3 linked regions of the Stegostoma tigrinum genome follow. The protein of the gene in region 2 purifies or fractionates together with the protein of the main gene of each other region. This does not show direct contact. Links are inferred from orthologs where the notes say so. Each region holds a gene or a part of one and is shown on either strand. Other genes may lie near its edges.

Region 1 (7,465 bases), on a different chromosome or scaffold from region 2:
TCCCAGAGTTCTTCAAACTGTTTATAAAACAACTTGGTAATTTGATGGAGACCTTTTAATCTTCTCTTCATGATCTCCACACACGTGATTGCTTTGCTGACAGCTTTCCCAGTGCCGGTAAAAAGGATCTCTCTGATATTGGCTGATTCCATCTTTCCAATGGCGTATCCCATGAGATTTCGGATTTTGCTACCTTCCTTCACCTTCATTTCAATAATATCTTTTGGAAGATTGGCAATTGGCTGTGGACAAGGGAGTTCTGTGATCTTTGTTTTTTGGTAATTTTCCATTTTGAGAAATGTCTTATAATTCTGAAGTGATGGAAATCAGAACCTGTAAATATAAATATATAAATATCAATTACTTACAGCTGGAAAACTAAGAATCTAGAATGTCTACTTTGTCTGCCATTCTAATTTATTGCAAACTTAAAAATGCACTATACGTTTACCTTCCTGAAAATGCTGACTCATCCAAGTATAACAACCCGAATTGTTCTTTTAGATGACATTACACATGATAATAAGTTACTTGACAATGGAAGCATTTGACATCCAAATATGCCCATGAGTGCTGAATTTAGGAGAATACCAAGTGTGATTTCTGCTACTTTGAAGATTGAAGACAACAAAAGTACCTTGCTATGGCAGCAACTGAGGTAAACCAGCAGAACACGACAGCAGATTGAATTGATTCTTCACAAGCTATTGTTCAATCGCAATTGAGTGGTGCATGTATTCTTTACATTAAAAAACATTTCAGAGTGAAATTCCATTTGTGGTACTACATTAGCAGCAAGTGCTTTGTGCATATTTTTAATTGCTCACATCACATCCTTCTCACCCAATCTTCATTTTAAACATGTGAATTTCATTTGAAACATTTCTATTTTCTAACATCTTTGGAGCCAGTCATTTTCGTATATGCCCCAGAATCTCTGAATTTTAGATTCTATTTGATAGAAGCTAAGCATGAATTGTTCCCTAATCTACTGCTTTAGAGGCACGATGTCACACCATTCTCAGATGTCTCTAAACTCCAGAAAAGTACAGAGCTTTTCTCAAAATATCTAATTTCACATGATGTTTATGATCCATATTCAGATAACTAATAGCCAATGCACTGTCAAGTAATCAGCTGGAAGTGCAACTTGATAGCATATAATAGCAAATAATCCACAGGAGTCAAGATGGAAACATTTTCTGCAAAAACCAAATACCATCAAGAAACTGCACTTTATGCAAGTAATTTAATCAACAAAACAGAGTGAATGGAGAATAATTATATCCAAACACGAGTAAATGATTAAATCCCATGCGCTCGCAATTTCATTCTCCAAGCACGGCTAACAAAGAAATTATTCAATTATTTTCATTCTAGCTAGGAATAACTAACCTTCTCTGCTACAGTGGCATGTGGTCTTTTACCGTGATCAGAGCAGTCAGAGCCTTAATTTAACATCCTTATTTGAAAGATAACATTACTGACTAGAGTTGTGAGCGCATGGAATAGTTTACCAGTGGTAGTCGTGGAAGCGGACTCATTAGTGACATTTAAGCGACTGCTGGACATGCACATGGACAGCAGTGAATTGAGGGGAATTTAGGTTAGGTTATTTTATTTTTGGATTAGGATTATTCCACGGCACAACATCGTGGGCTCAAGGGCCTGAACTGTGCTGTACTTTTCTATGTTCTATGTTCTGTGACTCCCTCAGTACTTTTCAAGAGTATCACCCTAGATATTTTGTTGAATTCAGTCCTGCAGGACTGCTATTCACCATCATTCAGACTCTGAGCTTTAGTCAAGATTGGCACTTAAATAAAAGGCACATACAATGGCTACCTGCAATTTAAAATAAGAATTTAAAACATTAGGTATATTCAGCAGGTCAGACAGTAACCCTGTTTCTCCAGAGACAATGCTTTCAGATAAATGGCCTCTTATCAAAACTGTCAAAAGTTAGAGATGTCACAATTTTCAAGCAAGTTTAGAGAAGTCAAAGGTTGCGAGAAAAAATGTGCACATGTGAGACTATGGATGAAAGAGAGATTAGAGGATCAATGAAGGTGCAAGGCAAAATAGAGTTGTATGGATCAGATGTAAATCTGTGTGCATAAGTCACAAAGTCTCACTTCAACTGTCCAGATCACACCTGGAGTAGTGGGTGCAGTTTTGGCCTCTATCACAGAAAAGATATTATTGCTACAGAGAGACTGTAATGAAAAGTCACCAGAATTTTCTCAGGATGGCAGAACTGGCCTATGAACAGAGATTGAGCAAAGTGGACCTGTACTTTCTACAGTATTGAAGAATGAATACAAATTTCATTGAAACCTACAAAATATTTAAAGCAATAGTTAAGATAAATGAAAGTGAAACATTTCCCTTAGGTGGGGAATCTAAAGGAGGAAAATTTGAGAATGAGGGGCTTTAAAAGTCTGCCCATCTGGCATGGGAGGGCAGGATCTCTGGGCCGAATAGCCTAGCCCTGTTCCTCTGCTCTTGAAATGGGATCAAAGGTTATGATCTGAAATTGATACAGTTGGAAGGCTGCTCCTCTCTACCTTAATACCTGAAGGAGGAGCAAGGCTTCAAAAGCTTGTGTTCTCAAATAAACCTATTGGACTATAGTCTGGTGATAATGGGAACTGCAGATGCTGGAGAATCCAAGATAATAAAATGTGAGGCTGGATGAACACAGCAGGCCAAGCAGCATCTCAGGAGTACTATTGTCTGGTGTCGTGTGACTTCTGACCTTATCCAACACCGGCACCGCCACTACCACATCATTTCTTCCCCTTAATCATTCAGACTTCGCTATTTGACGTTATTTGCTACTCTCTTTTTCTGTCGCTGCTCCCAAAGCTCTGATATTTCTAACCCATCCCGCTTCTCAACAAACAGTAATTCTGTTTCTCTTTCCGAAAAGGCTGACCTGCCGAGTTTTTTTCAGTTTCGTTACCACGGCACCGTCTATTCAGCAGCTCCTGGTAGTTACCCCGCAACTTCCCAACCCGAGTCCTATCCGCACCGGGATCCCAAGCCCAGGCCTCGCACCTGGTCCTGGGCCCGGGCCCTCTGACGTAATTTCCGCCGTTGGGCGGAAGTGGCGCTGACAATGGCGGAGCTGAAGAGGCTGCAGGACCGTTTGGAGAAACTCGAGACTCGGCTGTACGGAGAGAGAGGGCGGCAGGCCGGACAGGTACTGTACCTACATGTGATAGTAATAAAACAAATCAGGTACTGCCAGTGGGAGAGAGGCCGGGACAGGTGCTGCCCGGCTGGAGCGGAGTGGAATGGGCAGGGCAGATAGAGACAGGTCGGATAGGTGTTCTTTGGGGAGGGAGTGGTGTTGGTGACAGCGAGCGGAAAAATACGACTGGGCAGGTGGGTGAAGGGTGGAGGGAGTGGATGGAATTGGGGGAAGAGATGATGGAGAAGGGATATCGGACCGGAGAGAGAGGGGCTGGGACTTGGTGATGGGAATGGAGACCAGAGTGGTAGGGTTTGAATTACGTTCCCGATCCACCCTTTCAGGTCTCTTCAGAATCTTGTATGTTACATCGAATCATCTCTCATTTGTCTGTTTTTACAAAGAAGAGTGATCCAGTGTACTTAGCTTTTTATCACAGGAATGGATCTGTTGAACCAAGTATGCTGTTTCCAATGAAATTCTGTCCTTAACTGTTCAGTCTAAAGCTATACACACAGTCTTAAAGATGTCGTCCCACTGTTTAAGCAAGGCTTCTTTATTTCTGCAGCTATGTTTTCTGCTGCCAAGGATCATGTGCATTAGCAATAATATCTGTCATAGATAAAAGAATAGTTAAAAATACAAAATAATGAGAGTTTTAATGAGAACATATCAAGTCACATACTCCAAAAGTAGAACTTTTTTTGTACTTGGCAGTAATATCACAGTGCCACATGCATGTTGGGGAATCTTTGTTGTCAGTGAACAGATCCTGTTGTTCGTTGCTTACTGCGCTGGCAAGTTTGTTTGCAAGCATTTTCTCACCATACTAGGTAACATCATGAATGTTTCACCAGTGAAGCGTTGGTGTTCTGTCCTGCTTGATACTTATGTGTCTCGGTTAGCTGGAGTAGGTGGCATCACTTCTAGATTTGTTTATTAGTGGGTGGTGTATGGGGTCCAGCTCCACATGTTTGTTAACAAAGTTCTGGTTTGAGTGCCACACTTCCAGGAGTTCTTATGTGTATCTTTGTTTGGCTAGTCCTATGATGGCTACGTTGTCCCTGTTGAATTGGTGTCCCTCTTTGTCTGTGTATTGAAATGAATGATAGTACCAAGCAAAGACACGCACGAGAATTCCTGGAAGCCGGGCCTGCAAACCGGAACTCCATTAACGAACATGTAGAGCTGGACCCCATATACCAAACAATAAGAAACCAATCCAGAGGTGACACTAGATGTTACCTAGAATGGTGATTAAATGTTTGTGAACAAACATACCAGCTCAGCAAGCAAGCCAGCAACCTGAGCTACAAATCTTCTCAAAAACTTTGAACAGACCGTATTTCTGCACTCTGATCGTATTAAAGTACAGGCTATTCTTGTCTTCTTATTTGTTTACTCCACATGAATATTTGTGCATTTAGCAAGTCTTTCTGAACATCTACATTTATAAGTTTCACACCTTTTAAATTTTTTTTGTTCTTAATGCCAAACTGAATACTAACCTTGCATTTCCCAGCATGTCACTCCACTTGCCCCATTGTTGCCCACTCACTTAAACTGTCCATAATTTCTTGCAGCCTCATTGTGTCCTCCTCACTTTACAGCTGACATTCCCAACCATCTTTGTGTCATCTACTAGTTTAGATTTGTTTCTCTTAGTTGCTTTATCTAAGTCATTAAAATACATCGTAAATACCTGTGGTCCTAAACTGATCCTTGCAGCCTACTGTGACATAGTATAGCTGTCATCAGGATCCTGTAAATTCTCCCACCAATGTTTCCCTGATTATTCCTGATCTTCAACTCATAGTGTTTTGGCTTCCTGATCTTCTGGGCCATGATCCTTTCTCAATACTATTCTTCTCTCGTTCTTTCAGTATATTAAAATTTATTTCCCATCCTTGATCACTTTGTAGATATATCCCTGCAATTTCAATTGTCATTTATCTCTCTGGTTTGTTCCTTATTTAATGCATTCAGATAATGAGCAGTTTAATGTTACTTCTCCTGCCCTCCTCTTAGTTTATCAGGTCAGAGATCCCATCCTAATTCACGTGAAGCCCATCTACAGCTCCCTCTATATTGCTGTCAAGAATCAACACCCTTCCTAACACCACTCTTTGAGTCGTGACATTGATTTTTGAATTTGCTGTACCTTATGCCAGTAGCTGTGTGGTTCAGTAACCTAATCAGACGTTATTGCTTTATTTTTATTCATATGCTCAAGGGATGTCGACACATATTGTCCTTCCCTAATTGCCTGGATAGGCATAGCAATTACAAGTCAACTGCATTGCTGTGAGCCTGGAGTCACATAGGCCAGGAAAGGACAGCAGTTTACATCCTAAAAGACAATGAGATGTGTTTTTAAGACAAATTATTTTATGGTCATCTTGAGACTTTTAATTTGGTTTTAAAAATTAAACTCAAAATCTACCATCTGCCATTGTGGGATTCAAACTCGTACTCAGAACACTAGATTTGTGTTGAGAACACTCTTCATTCTTCTAAATTCCGATGAATACAATCCCAGTCCACTTGGGCTGTGCTCATAAACCAAAGCTCTGAAATCCAGAATCAACCTAGTGAATCTCCTCTGAACCTCCTCCAATACCACTACATCCTTTCTCAAGTCCTTTCTGAAGTTGTGGATTATCAGTCCACTATTGTCTATTGATGAAAAACTTGTTCACCCAGAGAGTGGTGGATATATGGAATGCTCTGCCCCAGAAGGCAGTGGAGGCCAACTCTCTGGATGCTTTCAAGAAAGAGATAGACAGAGCTCTTAAAGATAGTGGAATCAAGGGTTATGGGGATAAGGCAGGAACAGGATACTGATTGTGGATGATCAGCCATGATCATAATGAATAGTGATGCTGGCTCGAAGGGCCGAATGGCCTACTCCAGCACCTATTATCTATTGTCTATTGTGACCACTATGTCACCATCATCTTAATTTGGACCTTGGGATCTGCTGAGTTTGAGGAAATACATCATTGGTTCTCTCTCCAGTATGACTCAACACCTGGTGGAAACGCAACCTTCAGAATGCCCAGTTGCACTTAGAGGGGACAGAACTTTTGGTTCATTCAAAAATTTTCAATAAATTTAAAATATTGTCAGTTTTAAAAACAGACTGAAGTGAAAGGTTTATTTGTTTTAAACAGTCAATGGATACATAAAAATTACTGAGTAACATTTATACAGACTGATTTTTGAAAGCCAAATTCCAGTTGCCTGCTTGTTTACTGACTTGTCTTACATTTGATAATTCTGAAAAGACTTTGCTTCTCTTGTTTTGGATTATTTGCAGGCTCTAGTGGCCAACATTAGGTATTGCAAGTTTACAAGATGTATTTATGTTGATATTTTCAGCGCTTGGGAATGGACTACTATCATGGACTACAATATTCGTCCTCAAGTAGTTCACTCCAGATGAGAAAAGTAAAAGCACTTAAGAAAAAAAAAATGCCATCTGTGAATCACCTACTCGGGTTAATTGGTGCCTTTACTATGTGACAATTTGAATTTCACATAAGGACCAGAAGGAGGAGCAGTTCATCCCCTCTGACCATTGCCCTTACTGTTCAAAAAATTATCATCTTAGCTTGAAAAAGATTCAATGAGGAAGCCTCAACTACATCACTGGGCTAGGAATTCCACAGATTCACAATCCTTTGAGTAAAGAAGTTCCTCCTCAATTCAATTCAAAGTCTGCTCCCCCTAATTTTGAGGCTATGCCCTTTTGTTCTAGTTTCACCTGCCAATGGAAACATTCTCCCTGCTCTGTCTTAGCTATTCATCTCATAAAATTATGTATTTCTGTAAGATCCCTCTTCATTCTTCTAAATTCCGATGAATACAATCCCAGTCCACTTGAGCTGTGCTCATAAACCAAAGCTCTGAAATCCAGAATCAACCTAGTGAATCTCCTCTGTACCTCCTCCAATACCACTACATCCTTTCTCAAGTAAGGAGACCAAAACTGCATGCAGTACTCCAGTTATGGCCCTACCAGCACCCCATCCAGCTGTGACATAATCTCCCTGTTTTTAAACTCAATCCCTCTAGCATCAAAGGACAAAATTCCATTTGTCTTCTTAATTACCTGTTGCACCTACAAGCTAACCTTGTGTGATTCATGCACAAGGGTTCCCAGGTACCTCTGCGCAACAACATGCTGTGGACTAACTCCAATGTCAGGATATCTTCCTTTTGATTAGGGCCCCAAAACTGTTCACAGTATCCCAGATTTCATCTAAC
Region 2 (6,998 bases):
CATTTTGTTAAGACAAACAAGGGCAGGATTTGTTCAATTAAAAGTGCGGCCTTGGGCAGTGTTGTAGAACAGAGACTTAGGAGTTTAGGTACATAATTTTTTTTGAAGATTGCCTGGGTGATTAAGAAGGCCTTTATCACACTTGTATTCATGGCTTCGACTTCCGCATACGTTACGTTGAGGTGGTGCAAGAGGTTGGTGAGGCTTCTTCTGGAGGCAAAGTCAAAATGACTTCTCCCTCCAATTATTGGAAATTGAGTGCTTTTATCAAATTGACAACAAAGCACAACAGGAAGGGCATGGATAGGACATGGTAGGATTAACCACAATTTACAGCCTTGTGTAAAGGGGGTCTTGTGGCGCAGTCAGTGTCTCTACCTCTAATCAGAAGGTCAGAATTCAAGTCCCACCTTTTCCAGAGGTGGATCATGACACTTCTGAGCAGCTGTGTTGAACTTTTTAGCCCAACAAATGATTAAAATTGATCTAGGGAGAACTGGACATCAAAAGACTTTTTTGTTGCATTCTTTCACAGGACATGTGGGATGGCAGTAGTCCCAGCATTTGCAGTGGAGTCGGTGGTATTTTCAATCATTGCAGTCCTTCTGGTGAGGGTGCACCCAGTGTTGTTAGGGATTTTAGCCCTGTAACAGTGAAGCAGCAGTGATGTAGTTCCAAGTCAGGATGGTGTATAACTCGCATGAAAACTTGCAGGTTGCATTCTGATAATTCTACTGCCTTCGCTGTCGTCCTTTATATGGTATGCATCGCTACCACTGCACCCTAGTGGATGGGGTTGACTATTCAAATTGGCTGATAAGTAAATAGGCTGTTTTTTTTCCTGCATAGTAGGCATGCTTCTTGAATGTAGTTGGAACTGGGTTTATCCAGGCCAGCAGACAGCATTTCAGCAGAGTCCTCAGCAGTGTCTTGCAGATTGCCACTAGGCTTTGGGAAGTCAGGAAGTAGGTTACTCACTGCAGGAATCCCTATTTTCCAACTTTCTCTTTCAGCCATCCATATTAGTTATATGTCTGATCCAGCTGAATTTCTGGTCAATGGATGTTGATGCTGGGAGTTCTAACAATGGTATCATCATTGAATGTCATGGAGACACAATTGGATTCTTCTGTTTGAAAAAGTTGATACCTGGCACTTATGTTGCTTGCCACTCATCAGCCAGGCCCAAATGTTATCCACACTTAGCTGCAGATGGCATCAGGGAGCAGGACAAAAAAATGCAAGAAGTGGGACCAATAAGGAATATGAGAAATTGGTGCATAAGCAGTTGCAAGAAGAAAGAGAGATGCAAAGTGCAAAGCCTCCAGTACCAATCAGGCATGAGCTTTCATGCCACAATGATTATAAACTTAAGAAAATCCATAGTCATCGCAAAGACTACAGTCTGATATGGGAGCATATTACTGGAATGTTTGTGACTAAAGGATTCAATCAACTTACTGGATCACATCAATGGTAAAAAACACCAAAAGAATGTGGGGACATCAATAAAGGTTGAATGCTCTACTCTGGACCAAGTAAAGAAATGTTTTGGGACTAATTAAAAAAAAAGAACTGATTCAGTATATGAGAAGTCAAAGATGGTAATGAATCTCCAATCAAGAAACATCCCTATTCTGAACTCATATTGGTGAAGCATCTGAAAATAATTGGGTTTAGGTCTCTGCACATAGCAGTCAGGGGTCTTCTGGTGCAGTGGTAGTATCTCTACCTTGGACCAGGAGGCCTGGGTTCAAGTTCCACCGGTTTTAGAGGTGTGCAATAACTCCTTTGAAAAGGTTGATTAGAAAATTCGGTTTATTAATACTCTTAGGAACAGTTAGGGATCTGGTGGCACAGTGGAAGCGCTCCTACTGTGGGGCAAGGATGCCTAAGTGGAAGCCCCACCTGCTTCGGAATATGTCTGAACAGGTGATTTTCCAATTTCTACCCCGAGGAAATCCCACAGCAATCTCCCAGGACTGAGATGGCTGGCCTAGAAACACTTCAATCATTTCTGTTAATAAAATGTGAGGCTGGATGACCACAACAGGCCCAGCAGCATCTCAGGAGCACAAAAGCTGACGTTTCGGGCCTAGACCTGATGAAGGGTCTAGGCCCGAAACGTCAGCTTTTGTGCTCCTGAGATGCTGCTGGGCCTGCTGTGTTCATCCAGCCTCACATTTTATTATCTTGGATTCTCCAGCATCTGCAGTTCCCATTATCACTGAATCGTTTGTGTTAGACATGTCTTGAAATAGTAGAGTTTTCGTTCTGATTCGCATTGACTCTGATTTTGCTGTGTCTGAAGAACAGCGCTGTGTACGAAATTTGATAATGACAATAATTTCCAGGTTGGGAATCACCATTAAAACTAAATCCTACGCAGTTCATTCAATGCGGTTTGTCAGTCGCCCGAAAAGAATAAAATAATTATTTCACATGACAAGAGAACATTTAAAAAACATTAATTAAATCCACTCTCAGACATTCAAAGAGTGAAACTGTAACGTGCTTTAAGACATTGCAACGTGATTTAAGAAGAAACAACACTCACGGTGTGCCGCTGTTTCTATTAGACTTTGCAATCTCTTTCTGTCCGTAGTGTTGACGATGTTTAAATCTACAAAAGGCGCCATGCTTTCACAACGTGAGGGGAAACGTTTGCTCTTCCTGGGCTGGAAAGGTCAATGTTTTCGCCCGCAGCACTTCGCCTAAAGGCACCGTCTACTGTCGATCCCACTTTAAATCAAAGACAAACTCGAAAAAGAACAGAAAATGCTGGCAAAGCTCGGTTATGCTGTGCAACATCTGTGAAGAGACAGAAACAGAGTTCAAGGTTCTGGACGGCGACCTTGCGTCAAAGCAAAGTCATGCTGAACTGGATCGTCATACTATGATTCCCAGGCTCATATCCGCATCCCATCCGATTAGCATCCTTACAAATAAGGACACAAAGCATTTTCTCCTCATCTTATCACCTTACCACGATCTTCCAAGAACCACACGACCGCTGCGCAGCTGCACTACCCACTACCCGTGATGCTCCGGGAAGCTGGCAGCTCGCTATTGGTGGGATTTAAAAACCAGAGCGCGCGGCAGGAACGTTAGTTGGGAGCGCGCGGCAGGCAAGCGGCTATTGGAGCCACTAGGTTCAATCTGTGATTTATAACTGAGTTCTGGCGGTCAGTGTTTGTCTGTATGACAGCGATCACAACTAAGTTCTGGTGATCTACATATGTGCATGTGAAAGGGATCATAGTCCCAGCCCTGATGCTTTTGTCTGTCGAAGAGAGAACATAACTGAGTGCTAGTGGTCGATATACGAAAATTAGGCCGGTCACTTCGTACCTGGTCTGTGCTCGCTCCTGAACAAGTGCCAGTCTGCATCAGAGGGTTCCGGTCTTCATAGACCAGGTAAGTCCGCTGTTGGTGTTCTCCCGTCCCGGTGAACAGAGTGCACTCTGCTCTGTCCATGGACACTGACGAATTTAAGACATAATAGCGTTCTACTCTGAACTCTTCTAGTAAACTGGCAAAGTTGTTGATTAGGGTGGACCTAAAGGATTTTGTGAATCGGACAAGATCCGGAAGATGTCCGTGCACTTGTCTAATGTTACATTCTCGACCAACATCGTTGAAAACCTTTTGATATACATTTGAAGGGGGTGACTTCCCACAACTCGTGCGAGTGTTCCGGAGACTATTCTCTCCATTCCGTACATTGGTCTGGTCCTTTCTCCCTTTGGTGTTTTATCAAGCTTTCCTCTAAAGGGCATCACTGCTCGTTGCATGGACTTTTTGTGGTGGCAAGTTCTACGTTTCCAGCATCCTGTCGGTGAAATGTTTTGGAGATCTGAAGTGAAGAGGAAGTCTTGAGTAATGTCAGTGACCCTACGATTGTGACAAGTAATCGGACAAATCCAACTGTGAAAATTAGAGTAATCTCCCAGCTGTCCATTGAAGGAGTGATCATTAGGAGAAACTGAACGGACTGATTACATTTATTAAACGCTTCTTCCATGAATCTGTGAGAAATTTGGCCATCAAGAGATATAGCTGAGAGGATAATCACAGCCTATGAGAAAATGGCTGATGCCAACCACTCAATATTTTTTCAACTTGACAATGGTCTTCAACTTTGTAAATTGTCAGGTATTCCAGAAGATTCTGCTGAAGTATAGTTGTCTTCCAAAAAAATTGCTTGCCTCATGACAATACGACTGGTGATTTTTGGCAATGGATCCATCACAGACCTCTCTTGAGGTTAGTGCAGGTGTTGAGTAAAGTTGTGTTATTGGCCCAATTCCTCTTTTTGATTTTTGTTTTCCTAGCTGCTGTGTTCTGTCAGACTAAAGAGTAACTCTCTAATCAAATGGATGGAAGACTACTTGCTCTAGGATGTGTCCAACCAAAAGCTAAGAACAGCAGGCTTAAGACATTCGAATTTAATTTGCTGCAGCAGTGTGTAATGTGTGGGAAATTAATCTGCAGAAAATAAGTCCTGAGAGAAGACTTGACATTTGGAAGATAAAAGCTTTACATCAGCAAGCTCCCAATGCCTGTTTCCCAACCCTATTGATTAGGATTCTTGAGTGCTTGGAGAATTTGGAACACTTGTGCTAGTTTGGATTTAAATAATTTATTAATGCACTGTCAGCTGTACTGGCTTTGTCCTCCTTTCTGTAGCTGCATCCATAATGTTATTTGGGTGAAGTGATTGGAGTTGAATGATTTTGATACAGTGGCACTGGAGGAATGGCAATCCCATTCCAAATCAGAATGTTGAGTTGTTTGGACAGGACCTTGCATTGATATGTGTCCGTCGAGACGGTAGTGATAATTAATAGTCCACCCTTGAAAGACAGCAGCAGAGTTGGCTCCTTAGCTGGAGCTTATTTGCTCCAATTGTTTGTTTTTTTTTTAACTTCTTTTTTCCTTACTTACCACCTTGAGCTTGGGTGGCATCGACAGCAGAACTTGTGGACCTCAAGTGAGGCCAGTGTGGACCTCGAACATTTTGTAAAAGTTGAGGTGGCAGCAGCAGTGATGGAGCATGGCAGTGGGTGGAGCCCAGTGCAAGTCTGGCTGAGAGCAATGACTGGCCAGTGGCAAAGGATAACGGTGGTGGTTGGCCTTTGACGACTGGCAGTCTGTGATGATTGGGGCCAAAGCCTTGAGTGGTGGCACAGCCAGGAATGCTCAGACGGGTCTTAGCATGGGTGAAAGTTTGTTCGGCATGGTGATGGGGGTGAAGAGCAAGCCCTCTTGGGGAAGCCCAGCTTGGACCATCAAGAAATGACTGTAAAGTTACCTCTTTATTTTTCTACTGTTATGCTAAAACTATGTAATGCTGAACTTATTAACTTTTATTTCTTTATTTTTCTGCCAGTAACTAAGATTTTTTTACCGAGGTACTTACACCTAAAGATGATGCCATTTGTGATGACATTATGCACTTTTCACTGTACTCTTATCCTGTACTTGAGTACACATGAGATGTTTTCTAATCAACCTGTTCAGATGTTATTACACTCCTCTGGAGTGTGTGGGACTTGAAGTCATGCTACTCCAGCTGTAAATGGAATCTTTTGAAACCTTGTTTGCAATCTAGTGATTAAAAACAGAAATTGCTGGAAAAACTTAGCAGGAATAGCAACAGCTGTGGAGAGAAAGATAACAAGGTGTAGAGCTGGATGAACACAGCTGGCCAGGCAGCGTCAGAGGAGCAGGAAAGCTGAAGTTTTGGGTCTGGACCCTTCCTGCTCCTCTGATGCTCCTCGGCCTGTTGTGTTCATCTAACTCTACGCCTTGTTATCACAGATTCTCCAGCATCGGTGTTACTACTAACTCTCAGCTGTAGAGAGAAATCTGTGTTTAATGTTTTGGGTCCAGTGACCCTCCTTCAGAATTGAACAGTATTTTCTAGTTCTGAGGAAATATCGCTGGACCTGAAACATTAGTTCTAATTTCTCTCCATCAACGTTTTTGAGTTTTTCCAGCAGTTTCTGTTTTTGTTTGATTTCCAGTATCTGCAGTTGTTTTTTTTTTTGGCAGCATAGTGCATTTATTATGTAAGTCGCACTCTCTCGCTCTGTCCTCGTCCTCGTCCTCCCCCACCCTGGTGGGTTTAATCTGTGGTAGTTGCACTTTTAGCATGAAGGAGGCTGCGAGGGTGGAACCTTCAAAATCACAATATATCAAATAAATAAATGGAGGGCCTTTTTTCTGATGCATTGGCAGTGTTCCTACTGCTAGACCCAAAAACCAGAGTCGCACTTCCTCCAAAGGCATGTAATAACATCTCTGAACAGATGATTAGGAAAATTAAATTTAGAAAGGAAATGCATTTTTTGGCCAATAGAGTTCTTTGCAGCAAAACCATTAAAGTCATTTTGGAAATAAAACAGCTAACCTTAAACTTAATGTGATAATGACCAGGTAGCCTGCTCTTGTCATGCTGAGTGACATTTGAAAAAACTAATCTTTTGAGTTGCATCTAGCCTTTTTTTGCACGTTTTTCAGAACCTGAAGTTGAAAGGTTCCTGGGGTTAAAATACAATGTTTGTTTTTTGTATTTTCCCAACTTTTTTTTCTTTTCTTGCCAGAATGGAGCCTATAATAACATCTAAGTTGTCATTTATACAACCACAAGGAGCAGTGAATGACGAGCAGGATATACCTGCTGTGGAGGATTTTGAAGACATTAGAAAGGATTTGATTATTGAACTTTGCCAAGAAGAAAATAAAAATGCATCACATGTGGTATGTATGTAATGGAGTTTGGGGTTAGACAATGGTGTGGCGCTAATGTAATTTTGCTGGTAATCCAGAGATCCAGTCTCATGCTTTGGGACATAGGTTCAAATTCCACCACAGTAGGTGGAATTATAAAGGGTTGGTTTCATGGCACAGTGCCAACGTCCTTGCCTCTGGGCCAGAAGATCCAAATTCAAGTTCTACTTGCCCTGAAGGTTTGTCACACAACTTGTCTGAAT
Region 3 (8,012 bases), on a different chromosome or scaffold from region 2:
GAAGCATCAAGAAAATGATAGAAGGCAAAGGATAGATCAGAGTATGAATTTAAATACAGTAGGTATCCAAAGAGACTTGGGAAATAAAGTGCATAGATATTTAAAATGCCAGATTGTTTTTTGCAATCAAGTCTAATGGAATCTGGCATTTATACCTACAGGACTGGAGTATAAGAATGCAGAAGTTAAGCTCCAGTTGTACAAAACCCTGCTTGGACCCCATAAAAACTGAAAGAACTGCAGATGCTATAAATCAGGAGCAAAAACAGAAGTTGCTGGAAAAGCTCAGCAGGTTTGGCAGCATGTTTATTTTTGGAAGGAGACAGAAGCAAGCTGTGCAGAGCTGGGCAACTATCTGCTTGGAAGTAGTGGGGGGAGCTCACCGGATGAAATGAGATCAGTTACCATAGTAGATACAATGGCCTGATGCGTCACAGTGGGGTCATGGTCCAGGGGAAGATAGGAGGAGGTCTCTGAGAGCTGGCGCTCAACCTCCTCCCAAAAATCCACAAACAGGACTGTCTGTGCAGACCCATTGTGTCAGCCTGCTCCTGGCCCACAGAATTCATCTCTACCTACCTTTACTCAATCTTCTCTCCCCGGTCCAATCCCTGCCCATGTACATCCGTGATTTCTCTGACACTTGATGCCAGTTTCAAAATATTCAGTTTGCAGTCTCCAGCCACCTCCCATTTATCATGACGTGCAATCACTTTACACATCCATTCTCCACCAGGAGGGTCTTAGGGCTCTCCACTTCTTCCTGGAGCAAAGGCCTGAACTGTCCCCACCCCCCACCACCACCATCCTCCACATGGCCCAGCTCATCCTCACCCTCAACTTCTCTTTTAACTCCTCCCATCTTCTTCGGGTAAAATGGATTACCAAGGGTACCCGCATGTGCCCCAATTATGCCTGTCTCTTTGTGGGGTACGTAGAACATTGTTCCAATGCTATTCTGAGCCCCACCCACAACTCTTTCTCCAATATATCAATGATATCATCAGTGGTGCTTCTCTCTCTCACATCCAGAATTGGCAAAGTTCACCAATTTCACTTCCAATTTCCACCCTGCCCTCCCTTTCACCTGGTCTAACTCTGACTCCTCCCTACCCTTCCTCAATATCTGTTTCCATTTCTGGGGGTAGACTGGCCACTAATATCCACTGTAAACCCACTGACTCCCACAGCTACCTGGACGATACATCCTCACACCCACTTCCTGTAAAGACTCCATTCCATTCTCTTAGTCCTTCCGTGTCCAAAGTATATGTTCAGATGAGGTCAACTTCAACAAGGGAGCCTTCATAATGTCCACCTTCTTCCTCAACTGAGGACTTCCCAGCACTATTGTTAACAGGACCCTCAACTGGGTCCAACCCATCTCCCGTACCTCCGCCCTCCCGTACCTCTGCCCTCCCGTACCTCCGCCCTTATCCCTTCTCTTCCCTCCCTCAACAGCAATAATGTTCCCCTTGTCCTTACCTACCATTTCACCAGCATCCACATCCAGAAGATCCTCAGACACCATTTCTGCTACCTCCAGCAAGATGCCACCACCGCACACATATTTTCTTCCCCTCTCTTGTCCGCCTTCTGTAGGGGCCATTCCCTTCGGGAAACCCTGGTCCACTCTTCCTTCGCCCCACAGCACCTTTCCCTGCAACCAGTGTAGGTGCAACATCTGCCCATTTACACTTGACTTGCACTTCCCAGACTAGTCTACTGCATTCTCTGCTCACATTGTGATCTCCTCTACATTGGGGAAATGAAGCATAGACTGTGTGACCACTTCACAGAACATCTACGTTCCGCTCACAGAAAAGACCCTGAGCTACCTGTTGCCTGCCACTTTAACACACCACCCTGTTCCCTGACCAACCTCTGCCTCCAAATAGTTGCAGTGTTCCAGCGAAGCTCAATGCAAGTTGGAAGAACAACATCTCATTTTCTACATGGGGACCTTGCAGCCCTTTGGACTCCATACTGAGTTCAATAATTTTAGGGCCTAAACTTTCCCATGTCCTAGCCACCTACCCCACATACCAGGCCTTGTTATCACATAGTTTGCCATTCAATACTACCTATTGTTAGTCACTAACAGTCCCTATTAATAACTATTCACCCTCTTGGTCAGATCTTTTTCAACTCCTTTGTTTATCCAACTGCACTTGTCTCTTTTTGGGCTTTATCCTATCATTTACTCCCTACCCCACCCCTTCCCTATTTTCTGCATATAACCGATGTTCCCAGCTACCATCAGTTCTGAGGAAGCGTCACTGGACCCGAAACACTAACTCTGATCTTTTCTTCACAGATACTGCCAGACCTGCTGAGCTTTTCCAGCAATTTTGGTTTTTGTTCCTGGTGAGGCCCCATTTGGAGTCAAAAGGAGCACAATGTAGGTTTACATCTATGGAACCTAGACTTCAGGGGTTAAGTTTTGAGGAAAGATTATACATATTTGACCCATGTTATCAGGAATTTAGAAGATTCAAGGGTTATCTGACCAAAGCTTTCAAGATATTAACAAGAAAAGAAGGGCAGATAAAGATAAATTACTTCCTCTGGTTGGGGATTGTAGAACTCGGGGCATAGCCTTAAGATTAGGACCAGTGTGTTCAGAAGCGTATTTAGGAAGCATTCCTACACACAAAGGATGGTGGCTTCAAACTCTCTTCCACAAATGGTGGTTGATGCTAGATCAGTTGTTAGTTTTAAACCTGAGATAGAAAAAAAGTTGTTCAGCAAACATATTAAGGAATATGGGCCAAAGGCAGATATGTGGAGTTAGACCATAGATTTGCCATGGGCTCATTGAATGATGGACAAGAATCGAAAGGCTAAATGGCCAACTCCTGTTCCTATAGGCTCAGTAATTAACTAATGACAAGGAATTGGAAATCACCTGCTATGTTGATATTCAGAACAGAAACAAGAGGAACATAAAAAATAAAATAGAAACTCATGTAACTTTCACCATGGGACTAATACTTGACACCATTATAAAGAATTTTATGTATATTTATTCAGAGTGCAGATAAAATGAGCAGGCCTAAGGTTGTATGTAAGAGTATACATGTCTTGTATTCTTTGAACAGGTATTTAAACAAGTAGATAACAGTTGTCTCAGGCATATGACTATCAAAAAGCTTTTTTTCCAAGTAAGTTAAAGATGTTAGCATTTATGTGAAATTGGTTAGGCTGGTTGAAAATGGCCTTTCAATAGGAAGCAGAAAATAAAATGTGTGAAAACAATCAAAATCAGTATTAAGCATTTATTGTAGTTGTGCCATAAAAGAGATAAAGGAGTGATTGTGCAAGTTAACTGGTATATAAGAACTATGAATTTTCTATAAGTTGCTGATTAAGCTACAGAGTCAGAGGTACAGCATGGAAGCCGGCCCTTTGAACCAACTTGTCCATGCCGATCAGATACCCAAAATAAATCCAGTTCCACTTGGCCCATATTCTTAACCCTTCCTATTCATATACCCATCCAGATGCCTTTTAAATGTTCTAATTGTACCAGCCTCCCGCACTTCCTCAGGCAGCTCATTCCACACACACACCACCCTCTCTGTGAAAAAGTTCCCCTTGGGTCCCTTTTAAATGTTTCCCCTCTTACCTTAAATCTGTGCCTTCTAGTTTTGGGCTCCCCTACTCAAGGAAAAGACCTTATCTATTTACCTTTCCATGTCCCTCATGCTTTTATAAACCTCTATAAGATCAACCCTCAGCCTCCAATGCTTCAGGGAAAATATACTCAGTCTACTCAGCCTCTCCCTATAGCTCAAACCCTCCAATTCTGGCGACCTCCTCATAAATATTTTCTGAAACCCTTTCAAGTTTCACAACATCTTTCCTACAGCAGGAAGACTAGAATTGCACACAGTATTCCAAAAGTGGCCTAACTAATGTCCTGTACAGCTGCAACATGACCTCCCAATTCCTATATTCAATGCAATGACCAATAAAGGGAAGCGTACCAAATGCCTCCTTCCCTAGCCTAGCTACCTATAGCTCCACAATGAACCTGCGCTCCAAGGCCTCTTTGATCGGCAACACACCCCAGCACCATAACATTCAGTGTATAAGCCCTGCACTGATTTGCCTTTCCAAAATGCAGCACCTCACATTTACCTAAATTAACTTCCATCCGCCACTCCTCAGCCCATAGGTCCATCTGATCAAAATCCTGTCGTACTCTGAGGTAACCTTCACTGTCGACTCCACCTCCGATTTTGGTGTCCTCTGCAAACTTACTAACCATACCTGCTACGTTCACATCCAAATCATTTATATAAATGACAAAAAGCAGTGGACCCAGCAATAGTCCTTGTGGCACACCACTGGCCACAGGCCTCCGGTTTGAAAAGCAACCCTGCACCACCACTTTCTACCTTCCAGCCACTTCTGTGTCCAAATGACTAGTTCTCCCTCTATTCCATGTGATCTAACCTTGCTGATCAGCCTGCCATGAAACACCTTTTTTTGAAAGCCTTAGTGAAGTCCAGATAGATCACATCCACACTCTGCCCTCATCAATCCTCTATATTACTACTTTAGTCCTGTGCCCAGTTCTGATCACCAAATTCCAGAGGAATGTTCCAGCAAAGATTCTAAGCTATTTAAAATCCATTCACTTGCTTCGAGTTAAAATCAGCTCACAGTCTCTGATTGCAAGTCAAGAGCAATGACATTGATCCCTGATGTTCTACAATGACTTACATTATGGGTTTAGACCAAGATGACAATTTGCAAACTTCAATGAGACAACTTAAACTCTCAACAGAAGCTAAGATCAAAAAGTGACTTTGTGATTAAACTATTAATAGGTCAAAAGGATAGGTTCAAAGTAAGAAAAGGCAGGTTTAAAGCGTTTTAACTTTCCATCAATCATAAAGGGGGTGGGGTTGCTTAGCGCCTGAAGTGACGACATTTCAATGAGTCGGCGCTGACGTAATCACGCCGCGCTATGGACAGTAAGTAGCTCACACTCTGCCGCGTTTATTAAGAAGTTGGAGCTTTTGGGGTCAGGGCGCAGGAGGATGTTCTGGGCTTGTAGTACACCAGTACCACCCCTTCGAGCCGGTCAGCTGTAGGAGTTGCCGCCGCCGACCTTTTGGTTATCGGAAAGACGGAAGAGTTACTAAGCTCCACAAAGAGGCTCCTCTCCAGTGTCCCATCTATGCCAGTGTTACCATGGAAATGGTGAACAGGTTCGTCGCAGCTTCAGTAAACAGGTCCAAGATTTCTGAAGAGGGTCTAGGCCCGAAATGTCAGCCTTCCTGCTCCTCTGGTGCTGCTTGGCCTACTGTTTCATCTAGCTCTTGTTATCCAAGATTCATATAGCAAAGCCTTTCTCTTCGTTATTGATGGACTCCTCAGGCACAGCTTCATTTCTCAGAGACACTACTTAGCAGCTGGCTTTTTCTGGCTCCATGTTCCTCCAGATTCTGTTGGGGTTGTTTTGATAACCTCCTGCTGCCTATCTCAATTAAAGTTGCATGAGATAAATATTTCCTCCTGAATAATTAGTATTCAAAGACATGTTCAGTTCCAACTATTGTAATTCCTGTCAATGGCTTTGGAATTGTCCAGGGTATGATCTGACACTGAGTTGAAAAGTGGTGAATTTTACAATCCTGATTTTGTTCTCCTTTCTGATCTGTTGTTTTCTATAGAACATAGAACAGTACAGCACAGAACAGGCCCTTCAGCCCACAATGTTGTGCTGACCATTGATCCTCATGTATGCACCCTCAAATTTCTGTGACCATATGCTTGTCCAGCAGTCTCTCAAATGGCCCCAATGACCTTGCTTCCACAACTGCTGCTGGCCACGCATTCCATGCTCTCACAACTTTCTGTGTAAAGAACCCGCCTCTGACATCCCCTCTATACTTTCCACCAGCCAGCTTAAAACTATGACCCCCCTTGTGCTAGCCATTTCTGCCCTGGGAAATAGTCTCTGGCTATCAACTCTATCTATGCCTCTCATTATCTTGTATACCTCAATTAGGTCCCCTCTCCTCCTCCTTTTCTCCAATGAAAAGAGACCGAGCTCAGTCAACCTCTCTTCATAAGATAAGCCCTCCAGTCCAGGCAGCATCCTGGTAAACCTCCTCTGAACCCTCTCCAAAGCATCCACATCTTTCCTATAATCTCCTATTATCTCCATAATATCTGTTTGTCTCAATCTTTATAGTTTCCCCTGCTGAAACCCTGAAATTCATTTTACTTTGAAGGCAATTTTAAAGCTGACATTTTCCACGGCTTCATTTAGCAAAGCAATGATTTCTCTTTACAAGGTCTGTATTTTGTTTAGCGTTGGTTTGGCATGCTTGCCTTTATTGGTCAGTCCATTGAGTATAGGAGTTGGGATGTCATGTGATTGTACAGGACATTGGTGAAGCCATGTTTGGAACACTACGTTCAGTTTTGGTCTGCCTACTCTATGAAAAATATTGCTTAAACATGAAAGGAGTAGGGAAAGATTGATAAGGATGTTTCCAGAATTGGGAGAGGCTGAATAGGCTGGAGGCTCAGAAGTTAAGTGGTGACCTTATAGAGGTTTATAAAATCATGAAGGGCATGGGTAGGATGAATACCCAATGTCTTTCCCCCAGGATAGGGGAGTGCAAAACTAGAGGGCATAGATTTAAGGTGAGAGAGGAAACATTTAAAAAAGACTTGAGAGGCACTGTTCTCATTGCAGAGAATGGCACATGTCAGGAATGAGCGAAACAGGTACAATTACAACATAAGCCATCTGGATGGCTACATGAATAAGAAGGTTTAGACAGATATGAGCCAAATGTTGGCAAATGGAACTAGATCGGTTTAGGATATCTGGTCAGCAAGGATGAGTTGGACTTAATAGTCTGTTTCCATGCTGTAACTCTGACTCTGAGTCATGCTTATAAATAGAATGACGTTTAGAACAAAGACTCCACATAACAGCCAGGGCCACAATTCACCCGGTAATTTACTTTCAAGCATTTATGTATGTATCTTTTGAAGTATTCTCACTCCATAAATGAGCCTTCTCCATTTTGGAGCTTTGAATTTGTGACTGAATCATTCTTGCGCTAATAAATTCTTGCAATATTTTTCTGTGCTGTTATGCAAAGAAATCACTGATCTACACTTATCAGTTCTGTACAGGAAAGTTGTAAAGTGAAGGTTCTCATTTAACAACAATTATATACTTTCACAACAATTGGAAATACTACGATTCAATAATTCAGTAAACAATGGCTAATTAAGGTTACACAGCGGGGAGAAGTAATGACGCATTTACCTTTATTCTCATTGGATTGTGCAGGTAGACAAGTTCACTATTATTTTGTATATTTGGGACAAGCTGATACATTTGTTCTAAGTTATCTTTTAAAAGCAAACGTTAATGAAGTTTCAGCACTTTCGGCAAGTTGCTTCATAGTTCATTTAGAAAACAGTCAACTAGCACTGTATAGCCTGAACTTCATACATCAGTTGGTGAGAACTTTAATCTTGGAATGAAATTAAAGTGAATAATCAACTTAAAAACTGTCTTTTTAATCAAAATGAAGGGAAAATGTTTAGCAAATTAATCGAATAGACATGCTTCTCATTTCCGGTACCTAAGATATCAAGTAAACAGTTCTGTAAAGATGGCCAGAAAGCTCTTGTTGAGAAGAATAAAAGTTTGAAGTTTTCTTCTGGAGCAATGTGATGATGATTCCTAGAACCTCATTTGTAAAGGGATTATTGGGCTTGAGGTATTTTCTGTAGGCTGCATATTCATGTGATTTAATGTGGAAAAAGCCACTTTTTTTCATGGTACATCTTTAATTTTGCATAAACTGTTCATTTTGTTTGTTTCTCTCCCCTTTCTAAACAGATTTTGTGATTTTGATTGAGATTTGTAAATATCAATACTTAACCCCACGAATGTGTCAAATGTACTTTTTTTGTCTCTTTAGAATTCTCTGAAATTGGCTGGCTCCTATAAGTGACAGCTGCAT

What was found.
Region 1: the proteins of rpp30 (region 2) and rpp25l purify together in Homo sapiens (co-immunoprecipitation; 3 studies listed by BioGRID and IntAct, counting the BioPlex papers as one, with this or other methods). This does not show direct contact. The link is inferred for Stegostoma tigrinum from reciprocal best matches to the Homo sapiens genes RPP30 and RPP25L.
Region 3: the proteins of rpp30 (region 2) and pop4 purify together in Homo sapiens (affinity purification with mass spectrometry; 4 studies listed by BioGRID and IntAct, counting the BioPlex papers as one, with this or other methods). This does not show direct contact. The link is inferred for Stegostoma tigrinum from reciprocal best matches to the Homo sapiens genes RPP30 and POP4.

Annotation. Positions count from the first base shown.
Region 1 is NC_081354.1:146,847,168-146,854,632, forward strand, and holds the start of rpp25l (ribonuclease P protein subunit p25-like protein), read right to left. Parts: upstream 3,094-7,465; 5' UTR 2,939-3,093; intron 334-2,938; 5' UTR 291-333; coding exon 1-290. Other genes in the region: dctn3 (dynactin subunit 3), read left to right, coding at 3,122-3,205. UniProt on the Homo sapiens protein: May be a component of ribonuclease P or MRP.
Region 2 is NC_081373.1:44,334,725-44,341,722, forward strand, and holds the start of rpp30 (ribonuclease P protein subunit p30), read right to left. Parts: upstream 3,045-6,998; 5' UTR 2,987-3,044; exon of another isoform or gene 2,812-2,986; 5' UTR 2,640-2,811; coding exon 2,558-2,639; intron 1-2,557. Other genes in the region: kif20bb (kinesin-like protein KIF20B), read left to right, coding at 6,610-6,765. UniProt on the Homo sapiens protein: Component of ribonuclease P, a ribonucleoprotein complex that generates mature tRNA molecules by cleaving their 5'-ends. Also a component of the MRP ribonuclease complex, which cleaves pre-rRNA sequences.
Region 3 is NC_081369.1:32,454,667-32,462,678, forward strand, and holds the start of pop4 (ribonuclease P protein subunit p29), read left to right. Parts: upstream 1-4,919; 5' UTR 4,920-4,978; coding exon 4,979-4,985; intron 4,986-8,012. UniProt on the Homo sapiens protein: Component of ribonuclease P, a ribonucleoprotein complex that generates mature tRNA molecules by cleaving their 5'-ends.